Oryzias latipes: one gene and its partner. The protein of the gene in region 1 purifies or fractionates together with the protein of each later gene. This does not show direct contact. Links are inferred from orthologs where the notes say so. Each region holds a gene or a part of one and is shown in the gene's direction. Other genes may lie near its edges.

Region 1 (7,367 bases):
GTGTCTCTGCTTGGGTCCTGCAGGAGAATGCAGACGACTGTGGAGGGGCATCTGTCATTTCACTGTCATATGTCCTCCTCCTGCTATGTCTTTCCATTGCTGGATCAATTTCCTGATGATGGACAACTTTCTTACAACGTTTTTAAGTCTTCTTGCTCTCATTAAAAAAAAGGAAAAAAGTCTTGGACTTCTGAAGCATTATATTTTGTAAGTTTAAGAATGACAACCGAGTAAAGCAAGTTAATGGATTGCTGTTGCCATGGACACTTTCCAGCAAACTCACTCCTGCACGCCTTTGAGTCACAGATTGAAAATGGACTGAAAAGATGAAGGTTACAGCATCTGTTTTTAAAAGGAATGGTGAGTCACAAGTTGCAGCATAAGTAATTAGAGCAAGAGTGCAACACATCTCCAGTTGTCCGTCTCCATCTTCCTCTGATCTGAAGATCACAGGCAAGGCCTAGAGCGCATTTGCAAATATGCACTTCAGCCTTCAAGATCCACATTACTGCATCTGTTTTTGTTATATGTTGCATTTGAAAAAATAGTTAGCGTGAAGAGAAACTTGAGTTGGTAAATTGTATCACAGGGCATTTTTTAAAGGGGTTTGATGAATCAACCAAAGCAGACTAGATGAAGGCCCAGTCAGAAATGTCTTATATGAGTGGTATCAGAAATATTTAAGTTAAAAGTTGGAAGGGTCATACTTTTATCCCTAATTTTTACATGTTTTAAGACTAATTACATTTTACCTGCCACAATTTTAAAACGTTTTTCTGCCTTTTTTTGTCTTGTGCACTTTCACCATGTAATTAAATTGTTCTTGAAGTTAAAGCAAAAAAAAGTTTTTCTTTTGCATAACATTTTGCCTCAGGTTTTTTTTTAAGTATCTGTAATGCTCTGCTGAAAAAAATAAGTAAACAACTTTAAAAGAAAAAAGAATCACAATGGTATCTATCTAATGATAATAACATTTGTTAATGTTGATTTATTTACCAATAAATTACAATGTATTTTTATATTGATTTAACTGAACGCTTCTTTTTTTCAAACTTCTTTTTTTCTTCCATTTTTGCATGTTAAAAAGATTTACTTCTAATATATTTGTTACCTTTTTTATATTCTTTTTAACTAAAACATTTAAAATGGTCTGACTGAAATTATTATTTTTGTTGTTGTTGTCTTTGGTTGTGTTATTGACAGAGGTAAAATCTAATATATATGAAATGTTTATGATTTTTTTTAGGAGGAGCTAAAACTTGGAATGTGATTTTGTTCTTTTGTTCTGTTTTTTTCCTTTGTAAAACAAACCTGTAAATTGTTCTTATGAAAGTATTACATGGATTAAAGCCATTATTTATAAAATAAAAGATCCACAAAGTTGTTTTTATTACATTTACTTTGACTGTGTGTCATTTCTGTTTGTCTCCTTTTATTCACCTATTATTTATAAACTTATAGTTTCATATAAATGAGCAGTAAATTTATAAAGATATAGTATGATAGCAGTGGTTGTTTCAACAAATTGGATTGTGAATGACAGATGATTTCAAAAAATAAAACTTTATTTTCCAATAAAGTTTTACAAAATTACTTTTTAAGGTAAAATCCTATGTGTTATAGTTATTATTGTATCCTTTACATCAGAGTAAGTATTCAAATGTTGATCAAAAGCCAGATTTAAATTTATTTATATGACATTATTGATAAAATGTCTAATATAGTGTAAAATGTGAGTCTACAAATAATACACCAAAATAGAATGTTTTGTGTCTTGTCAATGTACTTAAAATATTCATTCATTCATTAATTCATTTTCTTAACCGTTTATTCCCTTTCGGGGTCACGGGGCTGCTGGAGCCTATCCCAGCCACTTGGGCGTCTTAAAATATTTATATTTTTAATTTGAAAAAAATATTATAGTATAATTACAGCAATACCTAATACACAGGAAACTATATAGTTGGAGATCATGTTTCACTCTTCTCTTTACACATAACTTTGCTTTTTATTTTCACTTTTAACTTTGTTGTCAAGAATTGTTACAATTTTTATTAAAAGACCATTTCTTCCAGCGATTTGTGTCAAATTTGCTGAAATTTTCAATCAACAAAACAGTAATGGCAGGTGCACAGCTGTACGTAGAAAAAAGCGTGATCTATTCTATCTATTTGAGTTCTTTTAGAAATTGCATTTCCATTGTTGTGAAAATCATTTATTAATAAATAAATAGATATTGAATTCCTCTTTTAAATGCGTAATTACAAAATACATAACAGAATAATTTATATTTTTTATAGATGTCGTATTCAGTAGTATGAATGTTTAAAGTGAAATGCAGATGATCAATGAATCCGTCATTCCCAGCAGAGCAGGCTGTAGTTAGTGAATACGACCAGCAGGGGCGCTGATGCATCTCCCGGAGTTATTGTTTGTAGCTCCGATCCTCTGCACCGCCAGGCGGACGGAGGCACGAAGCAGAGGAAAATGGCGGACGGTGTGGATCATATCGACATCTACGCCGACGTAGAAGAGGAATTTAATCAGGTATTAAAATAAAATATTCTCGAGTTTGTTCAGTGCTTTGAAGTTCTTTTTCTAATTTTTGCAATGGTCTTTTCGGCGTTATAGGAAAAATAGGTGTAATTTGATGCTCGTGCTAGCTTCTCCACTAGCAATACACACACAGGCCTCTGTCAGTCAGTGTGCTGCGTTGGTTGCAGCATAGATAGCAAACTTCTGTACAATAGATCTGCATTTTTTATTCAAACAGTAGTACACATGTGGAGGTAAATGTGATGTGGGTTATTATTTAGAATATGTACATTTTTGTCCATCAGCAAAGCGTCTAGCAGCCTTTTCAGTGGAGCGCGCGTATAGGCCGCGCAGTGTGTGCTTTCTTTTTTTTTTTTTCTCCCGACGGAGGCTGTTAACCAAACACGCATTTCATGATAAGCTAGCTGGTGTTGGTTAACTTCACACGTTTAATTGGTTTACTGTATTGGACGTGGGTTATAGTTTGGATCAAATGTAACTTGGTGTACTTTTAAAAACGTCAAAAATAAAAACAAAAGGGGAAAACACGAGTTACACGGCTTCCATTCTGGCAGCAGGTTGGGTCATCATGCATGGTGGGTGTTTTTTTTTATTCTTGCGCGCGCGCACATTAAAAACCGCGCCCCCCTTTTTAGACCGCATACTAAAATCATAACTTACTGACATTTGTTTTGCACAGAATTTGTTATGGTATTATACTGTCGGAGCTAAACATTTAAAAATAAATGTTTTTTTTCCTTGTTTCTTATTAAAATTGTTTAGCTAAACTTAATTAAGAGCCAGTGACTTAAAAATTATTAGTCATGTTTTAGTTTTTTTTAACATTTCTTTAAGTTTACTACTCTTTTTTTCCTCATAAAGCGTGACATAAAATAAAGAGAAAAAAATGCTTTTGGAATTTAATTAATTTAAATCAATTTATTATAGTAATTTGCTTTTTCTAGTAACCATTTTTACTTTTAAATTCTGGTGTAATTTCTTTTATTTCAGCTTCTTCTTGTTGACTAACTCTCTAGCACTATTTGGTCTCCATGTTTTATTATAGCTGCAGCAATTTCCAGTAAAACAGGGAGCTAAGTAAGCGTCTGGTGATATGCAGTAAACTTCTATAGATTAGGGGTCAACAGCATTTGTGACATAAAGTGCCATTTTGAAATTTAGAATGTAAAAAAGTTCAATATGTCTAGAAATGTATTTAATTCCCAACAGCAGGCATTTTGGCATTACCTCAAAGACGTTCTTTCATAACAATATTGCACAAGGAAAATAGGCCAAACTTAAAAAGTGAACTTAAATAACTTAAAACTATGTTAGTTTGAAACAAAAAGTACAGCATTTGTGGTACATCATACTGTATACGTCATGTAAATTAAATCTATCATGGTGTTTTTATTGCATGTAAAAGTAAATGTTTTACTTTGACCTTAGAATGCTAATTATAGTAATATAAATTTTCCACAATTGGACATTCTTCATTTTTTTTCACCCCCAGTAAATGGAGTGGCGATCAGCTGTACTATTCATTTTAAAACTTTTTCTCATTTCACATTTACATTTGTCAGAACATAAAAAAGTCAGGGTATAATCTGACCTTATTTGGTATTATCAACAAACTGAGCTTATAACTTCATAAATGGCAGTCGCTGTGACATCCTAAATATAATTAAAAAACCGGCTGTGCATTCATTAACCTTTAGCGCGTTTCCCGCTTATGCATGCGCTCATCGTATTGCCCCACCTGTCATCTCACCGCCAACAGCTTCAAAACACAGGGTCATTACGTCACCGTGGCAAACTTGTTTTTTTTGCCTGCAGTGCACAATCATTTAAATCACCCGTTCATAAAGGCAGAAAGTAACGTACATTGTGTGAAACTAGGCCTGCACAATATATCGCAAATTTATCGTTATCGCGACATTAAGCTGTGCAATATGCATACCACAAAAGACGGCGAAAATCGCAATAAATGGTTACCTTAAATGTGCTAAAACAATCTCGTGGCAGCTTGAAATATTGAACAAATGAAATAAATCCCTTTATGCATTTAACCAATCGGAAGGACCCATTTACGTTGTTGATCAATCAGATGAGCCCTTTTATGTTTGATGTTTGCCTCCTATGTCGACAAGGGTCATTTGGAGTATAATTTTTAAACTGTTGCAGTGAAATGGAAATTATGTTTTTGGTTGTTTTGCTGTTTGTTTATATACCGCGAATCATATCGTTATCGCAATATTAATCACCAATATCGCATATCGCGAGTTTTCCTCATATCGTGCAGCCCTATGTGAAACTATAAAAGTGGTTGGGGTCACAGTAACAGCGCTGCTTGAATGGACCATTTCCTTTTGGCCCCATAGGGGTGACAAAAGCTCATTGTGAGAAGAGATTGTCACTGTTTTTAATCCCGAAAGATGCAAAGAGGCGACAGATCCAAGTGGTTAATGTTGTCACAGCCACTGTCTTTCCCTCTGCGTCCCAGTTGTGGCAAACTGCCAATTCGATAAGCAACTTACCTTAGATTAGACAGATACATCTGTTTCAATCGTAAGAAAATAAATCGATTCGTTGATTAATCGTTACACCCCTGTACATTACTAAAAATAATATCCATCCATAATATCTTTCACTTAAAAGATGCATTTCTACATCCCCAGTTTTTATAAACGTTGAGCCACAGTTTCAGGTTCTTGTGGAATTGAACCCCACATGTTTTGCTTTAACTGTGTTAACTCATTTTTCTTTTAAAGGAATCGGAGTATCCAGTTCACGAGCAGATTGACTTGTACGATGATGTGATATCCCCATCTGCCAATAATGGAGATGCTCCAGAAGACAGGGACTACATGGATTCAATGCCTCCATCTGGCGGTTCTGACGGAGGGAAGAGTAATCCACCCAATGTGGTGTACACCTATACAGGCAAACGGATTGCTTTGTACATCGGCAACCTTACATGGGTGGGTTTCAACCATTCAAATTAAATAATTAGAAGTTTCATTGTCAATTTCGACTAAATGCTAAGAAAGTAGTATTGATAATTTGTCTCTTTTTATTATTGTTCTTTTTTTACAGTGGACAACAGATGAAGACCTGACTGAAGCCATTCGTTCAGTAGGCATTACAGATGTGCTGGAGATAAAGTTCTTTGAAAACAGGGCTAATGGCCAGTCAAAAGGGTGAGGACAGTAGTTTTTGTTTGTGTTTAACTCTTTACACCGAGGCTTTAGCTTCAATGTTAACGTTCTTTGGATTACCGTGACTCTTCAACTGTGGAAAAAGCAGCCTTACGCTGATGTGCAACACTTTACATTAATGATGTGTTGCATATCGGTGCAAATCCTCTATGAAAACCTGCTTTTCTCCAGATCAGAATCAGCCGATTCGGTTTGATCACGTAAATGGCCAAAGAGTTACGGTATGTCAAAGAGAGCGTGTGTTATTTATGTGTTGACGTCAGAGTATTTTTTATTTTATTATACATTCATATGTATAGGAATCCATGTCATGTGCAATTTATTGTATGCATTTTGTTTAAACCGCGCAGAGTTTATTCATTTTCAGAGTTGTGACGAGACTCAAGACAATTTGAACAGAAGTAATTAAAGTTGTGCCACCACAAAACCCTTAAGGTGATGCTTACTGTCCACCGTACCATTATATAGTTTGATGATTTCCGGTTTGAGCTTACACCAGGGGTGCCCACACTTTTTTGGCATGCGAGTTACTTTTGAGACAAGCTCCAAAAGATCTACCTAGATGGATGGATGGATGAATGTAAATAAAGTATTTTCTGTCTATTCAAAAGCTACACCGTAAGAGTACACAAATCTTTGTGAGGAGATAGCTCTGTTGTGTGTATTAATATTATTTTTATAGTAATACACAATTTGAACAGATAAGGCGGTTTATTATGTAAACAGATAGCAGCGACGATCGCGTTTCATGCTATGCTGACACTGTGTAATAGCAGGACATTTCCAAAGCGCAGCAGGCTTACTGACGGCTGAGCGAAGGGCGGCCCCTGCTCTGTGGGCAGGGCTATTGAAGTGCGTGCTTGTACACACTGCTGCCTGAGTTGGCGTTTCTGTCTCGCTTTCAATGGAGGACGCATGCATGCCTGCCCAGCCTCAATAAACGGTCCTGCAGGCGCAGAATGTCCTCCGCCTGGGACCTGGCACACAGCGGGGCTGGTAGCGTCTTTCTGATGGCACAAAGCGTCTGCGCTTAGTGTATTCAACCTTGCATTTGCAATGACGTATGGATCAGAGGATGCCTGCGTGGATGTTGTTTGTGTGAAAAAACTTCACTGTGAGGATGATGATTCAAATGTGGAACAACTACAAAACCTGGTGGCCTCATGAGTTCAACATTTTATAACTAGGATGTTTTTGCTTTGCATACTTATGACAGGGTGTCTTGTGCTGGTTTCCTTCAGGTTTGCTCTTGTGTGTGTTGGTTCTGAGGGATCATCCAGGAAACTGATGGACCTGTTGTCCAAGAGAGAGCTTCATGGTCAGAATCCTATAGTCACACCGTGCAATAAACAATCCCTAAGCCAGTTTGAGATGCAGTCACGCAAAAGTAAGTATTTCCAGTTTCATCTTACGATTTTCACAAATCTATTTAATTTGCTACAAATGAAAATATATTGCAACTTGATGAATTTTGAGCCATTTGAAACCTTTTATTTATTTATTTAGGTACTCAATCTGGTCAGATGTCAGGGGAAGGTAAAGCTGGTCCCCCTGGTTCAGGCCATCGCTCCGGATTCTCAATGGGCAACAGAGGTCGAGGCAGGTATCCTGGTC
Region 2 (7,290 bases), on another chromosome or scaffold:
CGTGGACCCGTGATCCCTGCATGGACCTGTGATCCCTGCATGGACCTGTGATCCCTGCATGGCCCCGTGTTCCCTGCATGGATCCGTGATCCCTCTGTGTACCCGTTATCCCTGCATGGACCTGTGATCGCTCCATGGACCCGTGATCCCTGCATGGACCTGTGATCGCTCCATGGACCCGTGATCCCTGCATGGACCTATGATCCCTGCATGGACCAGTGTTTGCTTATCATTTACAATGCATGGAAGACACGGATGATGGGATTCATAAAGTATCATTGATTGATTGATTGCTCGGGGCTTTATTTACTTTGAAGAGCTCTACAAAAGTATCAGTAATCACGTCTCCAGGTCCTGGTTCATGAGATCTTTAAGAGTGTCTGCTGGTACAGTGAGCTTCACTCTCCATGCTGTGTCTGAACAACAGCCGCTTCCACGGGTCTTTCTGTCTCTCTGAGTTTGAAGATTTGCTGTCCCGCGTTGACCAGAGGAAAAATATAAAAACAAGAGTAAAATTAGAGGACATTTTTTATTATTGTCTCGTTGATAATAAGAAAAACATTGTAAAGTTAACCCTTGTGCTATCCTAGGCACTTTAACGTTGGGAGTTGTGTCATCTAGACCCACTAGACAGTGCTTTGAACCTTTTTTTTCAATGATTTGTGATCTGCACTGGTGTCCATGGATTAAATGAAATCTTTCCACCTTTATCCACCTTTGTCTTGGTAGGGAGAACACGTCAATATAAGGAATGTAAGGATTAGGCTTTAGTTGCTGTGAACAGTGATGGAAAAATTGGGGAGCCCTGGTGTGCCTAGAAAAGGGGCCCAATCTGCTCCTCTGGGAATACAGTCCACCCAGCTCAGATGTTGGGGACTCCCACACCGCGTGGAAAAGAGCTGCAAGGTCAGAGGCACAGGAATCCCTGGGACACCACAAATGGCCTTGCAGTAGCCACCGATCTGCCCCACCTCATCTGTGGTACGGGGGATAGGGTACAACGTGACCATCCCCTTCTCGCTATGTGTGTATGCATGTGTGTACTAAAGAGGTGCAATTAAAAATTAAATCGTGTCTGTACTATTGACATACCAATGCCACGGGAATGGCGTTTGGTGTGACCGCAGCTTCATGGGGTTTTCTGGAGCCTATCCCAGAAAAACACCTGTGCTGCCCCCCAGAGTTAGTTGGTATTATGATATTCAAATCAAAGTGCACCTTATAGATGTCAACACTAGAGGGCGCTCTGCGCACAGTGTTTCACCAACGTTGAATTCAGTTTGAGGCAGTAGTATAATCATACTGAACTGACTAAACGTCTGCTAAAACGGCTTTCTGCTTTGATGGACTCTACCTACATGAAGGACAATCTTCATGGACACACAAGTGAATGATTTTCTGTCTGTTTTCCACAGGAACTGTCGCACACAGACAAGCTTCCCCACCTTTGTGAGGACCACTGATGGTGTATTTCACTGCAGCTCTTCTGTTTCACACTCAACAACCTGGTTTCTGAGGATCACAGCAAGATTTTTGGAGCTTTTAACTTGTACAGTTTGATGTATGAACTTCACAAAAGTCCTTTTAGTTTTTTTACACTAAACGAGTCAAAGTGTAATTTATTTCAATAATTGTCCTCTTTCGTCTGAGTGGTTTCTTTGGGATTTAAATTGTCTGTTTTTCACATTTATTGATTCCAGCACTTTTTGTAATCATGTGATCCGTGTAATGTGAGGTGTTTTCTGTTCATGTGGTGCACAAAGGAAATAAATTATTTCCTCACAAACATGGAAGACATTCTTTCTCCCCGACAAGTGTCGGATCTGTGGGACATTTTGAGAAGAACTCATTGAATTTCTATTCCGTTTTTCCCTTTCGGGGTCACGGGGCTGCCGGAGCCTATCCCGGCCACTTGTGGGCGAAGGCAGGGGACACCCTGGACAGTTCGCCAGTCTGTCGCAGGGTAGAATGTCCACAATCACACACCCATTCACACTCACACTCACACCTATGGACAATTTAGATTAACCAATTAACCTATGAAGCATGTTTTTGGACAGTGGGAGGCAGCCGGAGACCCCGGAGAAAACCCACGCATACACGGGGAGAACATGCAAACTCCACACAGAAATGTCCCCCATTGATGTTCTGTTTCAGGTCCCCCAGCCGGGACCTGAACCGGGGGCCTTCTTGCTGTGAGGCAACCACTGCGCCACTGTGCAGAGAAGAGAAGAACTGCGAAGCAAAAAAAAAAAAAAGGGAAATGTAAAAAACACACATATTTTACCCAGATATAGAAATCCAAAACTCACCATGAACTGATTTACATGTCATGTTAAAGCTAAAAGCTGAACGGAAGTCATTAGTTTGTAGCTAAAAAACTGATGTGGAACAACAGATGTGTCATTTGTTCCTAGTACATACATGTAAATGTCTCGACAGATTTTACGACATACATGGAGGAGAACGCTGAAGAGTCGATGAATAAAGAACATGTTAGTTTAGGAGAGGTGGCTGTCAGTTTATGACTGGACTGTTCATCAAGAGGAATAAAACGGATGAGTCACAGAGAAGTCATGAAACAGAGGAGAGCAAGCCAGACTGAAGTCAGAGCTGAACATTTGTGAACAACACCTTGGTTTCATGCAGAGAGAGACAACCACAGACGATTTGCTCTGGGAAGGAGGTGAATGAAGGTCAGCTGGGGGAAAAACAGAGTATCGTTGGCGTTGCTCACTTCATCAACGACCACCGGGCACGGCGGGTCGTTCTGGAACAGGATCCGGGCTGCAGACAGTCTCTCCTCCAGGCTCTGGTGCTGACTGATGTCATAGTTGTTGGAGGCCCAGCCATCAACTTTGACAAACTGACTTTGAACATTTTCAATTCATAGCAATCTGTTTCTGTAATTTTTCTTTTGTAATACATGTATCTATGTACCATCCCCTGGCATTCTCGTTTTTAATGACTGTTGTTCTTGTTATACATATTTGTTCTATTTGTTTTGAACAATAAAGTTTAAGAAAAAAACTTTGACAAACTGACTGTGACGGAACGGTGCGATAGGGGGCGCCAGACCCCCGACTCGGTTACATTCCCGTCAACGAAGAAGAAGAGCAGGGAACGTCTGCCGGGTCACGGTACCACCGCACCGAACCAGTGCCGGGTCACGGTACCACCGCAGCCTCAGCAGCCCTTGTTCGCAGTAGTTAGCGCCATGGCGGCGGTGCGCAGCCTGCGGGTATCGGTGAAACCAGACAGCGGCTCAGAGCACTCGGAACCGGATTCCGAGTCGGACCGAGATGACGCTCGCGAAGCCGAACCGATGGAGGTGGAGGAGGGCGAGGTGGATGCAGAGGATATCTCCGTTAACCGCTCTCTGAAGGAGCTTCTGCCGGTAAGACCCCGAACTACTTAGGCCCGCAGAGCCGGGGACTGGAGTTTTGCTTCAACATACAGAGTCGGCATGCGATTATTACCCGAAGCTCCGTCTAGTAGTTCCAGGAATTAGTCGGTGACGGGCGCCGCTGTTAATGCTCGCTGCAGCCACGGGGATTTTCTCTTTTCTGGGCCCCTTAGCCAATAGAGAGTTGTTGTGTCGCTCACCTGTTGATCTTTACTTACCTAAGAAACGGCGGTGAGTTTGGAGAATCCGTCTAAAAACGTGCATATATTATAAGCAGAGCTTTCTGCGGGGATTCAGCTAAAATGATCGATTAGCTACTGTCAGTCCATTATAATTATAACCCAGTCTCAGGTCCGGGCCAGCCCATTTATGACCTAGTCTAAGTCTGGGTCATTCCATCATGACCCGGTCTTGAACCAGCTCAGTAGCCTTGGGTTAGTGTCCGCCCTGTGACTGGAAGGTCGTGAGTTCAAATCCAGCCCGAGTCATACCAAAGCCTCTAAAAATGGGACCCAATGCCTCCCTGCTTGACACTCAGCATAGGGGTTAGATTGGGGGAGTTAATGAATAACCCCCTATATGGTGGATTAACTTAATCCACCATAAAGTTCCGTCCGAGCGCGGCTGTGTCCGCAGCTCACCGCTCCCCCAGGGGTGGGGTCAAATGTGGAGAACAAATTTCACATACCTAGTTAGGTGTGTGAAAGTTAACGGTACTTTAAGTTGTACTTTTCTTTAGTCTGGCTCGGCCCATTATGACCCGGTCTGGCAGATGACCTAGTTCTGCCCGCTCTGTCTCTGCAGGACACCAGCCGGCGTTACGAGAACAAGGCCGGAGCGTTTATCACCGGGATTGACGTCAACTCAAAGGTACCGCAGCCTCATCACGCAGCTGCCATGTGATCAGCTCGTTGTTGGTAAAAAGCATTGAAAGCATGAAATAAAGTTCCAGTCCAGGTCCAAAAGTGCAAGGCCTCATGAAAAAGAACCTCACTGAATCACCCACCTGGGTGCCGACCTCTCCAAGCCTGGCTTGGGAACGCCTCGTCTCTCCTCAGACTGCTGCCTCTGCCACCCAGACGATCAGAAGAAAGTAGACGTGTGACCTGCCTTCACCTCCAACCACAAACCATTAACTCTGACGTGAAGGAAGCTGTTACCATGGTAGCCAACTACAAACCGGGGTATGACACAGTTGTTTGTGTTTTAGGAGGCGATTGAGAAGAAGGAGAAGCGAGCGCGACGTTTCCATTTCTGCGGCGAGCAGAGCGTCAGTCAGAAGGCCGTCGTCCTGGACAAGGAAACCATAAAGAAAGGTGGGGGTGGCTCCGGGTTTTGTCGTGTCCCGAGGTGGTGTTGGTGTATTGTTGACGTTGTCGTCTGCTTCAGCCATTCCCCGCCTGCGGCTGGAGGCGCTCCACGTCACGGGCGTGGACGACATGAGCACGCAGGACATCTTCGGCTATTTTAAGGAGTATCCTCCCGCCCACATCGAGTGGATTGACGACGCGTCATGTGAGCGCACGAACGTTTGCAGGACGACAGGAAACCCAAAGAGGGTCCTGAGGTTTAACCACCGCTTCCATCCTTCAGGTAACGTGGTCTGGTTGGACGATGACACCTCCATCCGAGCGCTCATCAACACTAGCAGAATGCCCGACCCGGAGGCCGTTACCACGGAGACCGGAGAGCAGCCAGGCAAAGAGAGCAAAGGTCAGCGAGTGGAAACATGCTCTGACTTTCCGAGGCCGCAGTGCAGCCTGGGTAATGGCTCTATCTGCACACAACAGCTCAGCGAGGTCCAGACTCAGAGGATGAGGAAGAGGAGGGTGAGGTGGGCGATGAAGAGGACGGGGCAGCCAGAAGGAGCAGTGAAGTGCAGGAGGAGCAGCAGCCGAAGGAGCGCGGAACACAGGTAGCTGTCACCAACCGCACAAGCTCATTGGTCAGTCAGAGAGTGGGGGGTGGGGGGTCTAAAGCTGCGTTCACACTGAACGGGAGTGAAGCGTCAGAAAGATTCTGGCGAGCGGTGAATATTCTGGCTGAACTTTGGTCACGAATTCGCGTCACGTCAACCAATCAGGGAGTCAGCTTTAGCCCAGGATGCTTTGATGACGTGATCAGCATCTGGAGGCCAAAACCAACATGGAGGACAATCTGACCGCTCTCCTCCTTAACTTTATGATTTTTCTTTTTTCCATAGAGACAAAAATAAAAAAAAATTCTGGGATTTTCCAAACCTTTAGCCCCTCCCACACACAGCAGGAGCGTCAGGTTTACGACAAGCTTCCAGGAGCAAATTTAGCGCGTGTCAAAACGGAGGAAACAAATTCGCCAGGAGAATTGAGTTTGCAGTAAACTCAGCAAGAGGCTGGAGTCAGGAGGAGCTGTTGACACGTTTATGTGTGTGTTTATGTGTGTGTGCACGACTCAGGTGGACGACCTGTCGCGGGCGGAGAGAGAGTCGCTGCTGAGGAACGAGCCGCGGCCCGCCATCAAACCCTTCAAGGGGAACAAGCTGCTGCTGCGCTTCGCCACACAAGGTGAGCCGCCGTGTCTGTGGGGACACGCCCACCAGGACGGCGACTCTCAAACCCTGAAGCCCACCTGAAACCACAAAACCCACTTTTGCAGCACGTTCCAAATTACACCAATGACATTTTTCTGTGATTTCTCTGTAATTGTCAACGCAAACGTCAGTCAGCAGAATGTTCAAGTCAGTAAGCGTTAGAGTATAAATAACGGTAAATGTTACTGAACACAACCTAAAGATAAAACCCTCAAAGTCACTGTTCCACATTATTACACACAACCGAGTTCCACAACATTTGATAGATTCTAAAGAACTGAAAATGGTAGTTTGCTACATGTTCGTATTTACTGAAATGTAAAGCTATTCCAATCAAAAACATCTTCATAGGTCAAGTTCCATTTGAACACAGGACCCCTTATCTTGTAGTAGCTTCACAATTGTTGCATCTATTGAACTTTTTGGAGAGTTTCTGCTTGAATTTCTTTGATGTCAGAATATCCTCCCAGAGCTGCTGTTTGGATTTGAACTGCCTCCAACCCTCAGAGATATTTTACTTGAGGAATTCTCCAAAAGTTCTGAATAGGGTTGAGGCCAGGGGAGGATGGGGGCCAAACCATCAGTTTATCTCCTTTTCTGTCCATAGCAGCCAACGATGCAGAGGTTTTCCTTGCAGCATGGGATGGTGCATTGTCATGCATGAAGAGGATTTTGTTACGGAAAGCACGGTTCTTCTTTTTGTACCATGGAAGAACGTGGTCAGTCAGAAATTCCACCTACTTCAGGGACCCTAAAAGGGCCGACCAGCTCTCTCCCTATGATTCCAGCCCAAACCATGACTCCCCACCTCCTTGCTGACGTCACAGCCTTGTTGGGACATGGTGGCCATCTACCATCCACCCACTACTCCATCCATCTGGACCATCCAGGGTTACACGGCATTCATTAGTGAACAAGACTGTTTGAAAATGAGTCTTCATTATGTCTGGGCCCACTGCAGCCGTTTCTGGTTGTCAGTGTTGTTTGGCGAATAGAAGGTTTACTTAGAACTACAAGCCTCTGGAGTGTCCTACACCTTGATGTTGGTGGGTCCCCAGAGACACCAGCAGTTTCAAATATGTGCTTGCAGCTTTGTCATGGTATTTCAGCAGCGGCTCTCTTAATCCCATGTATTTGTCTGGCAGAAATCTTCCTCATTCTGCCTTTATCTGCAGCAACCCGTCTCTGTTCTGAATCAACCACAGATTTCTTAATAGTACAATGATCACACCTAAATCATTGTGAAATATCTAAGGTTTTTATACCTTCTTCAAGGCATTTCACTATTTCACGGTTCAGCAGCAGAAAGATCCTT

What was found.
Region 2: the proteins of cpsf6 (region 1) and ncbp3 purify together in Homo sapiens (co-immunoprecipitation; 3 studies listed by BioGRID and IntAct, with this or other methods). This does not show direct contact. The link is inferred for Oryzias latipes from reciprocal best matches to the Homo sapiens genes CPSF6 and NCBP3.

What each region holds. Positions count from the first base shown.
Region 1 is NC_019881.2:14,389,981-14,397,347, reverse strand, and holds the start of cpsf6 (cleavage and polyadenylation specificity factor subunit 6), read left to right. Parts: upstream 1-2,436; 5' UTR 2,437-2,487; coding exon 2,488-2,547; intron 2,548-5,306; coding exon 5,307-5,516; intron 5,517-5,631; coding exon 5,632-5,735; intron 5,736-6,994; coding exon 6,995-7,140; intron 7,141-7,259; coding exon 7,260-7,367. UniProt on the Homo sapiens protein: Component of the cleavage factor Im (CFIm) complex that functions as an activator of the pre-mRNA 3'-end cleavage and polyadenylation processing required for the maturation of pre-mRNA into functional mRNAs.
Region 2 is NC_019872.2:24,105,362-24,112,651, forward strand, and holds the start of ncbp3 (nuclear cap-binding protein subunit 3), read left to right. Parts: upstream 1-3,076; 5' UTR 3,077-3,217; coding exon 3,218-3,397; intron 3,398-4,210; coding exon 4,211-4,276; intron 4,277-4,616; coding exon 4,617-4,722; intron 4,723-4,795; coding exon 4,796-4,921; intron 4,922-4,999; coding exon 5,000-5,119; intron 5,120-5,196; coding exon 5,197-5,321; intron 5,322-5,840; coding exon 5,841-5,949; intron 5,950-7,290. Other genes in the region: rap1 GTPase-activating protein 2, read left to right, coding at 1,416-1,463. UniProt on the Homo sapiens protein: Associates with NCBP1/CBP80 to form an alternative cap-binding complex (CBC) which plays a key role in mRNA export. NCBP3 serves as adapter protein linking the capped RNAs (m7GpppG-capped RNA) to NCBP1/CBP80.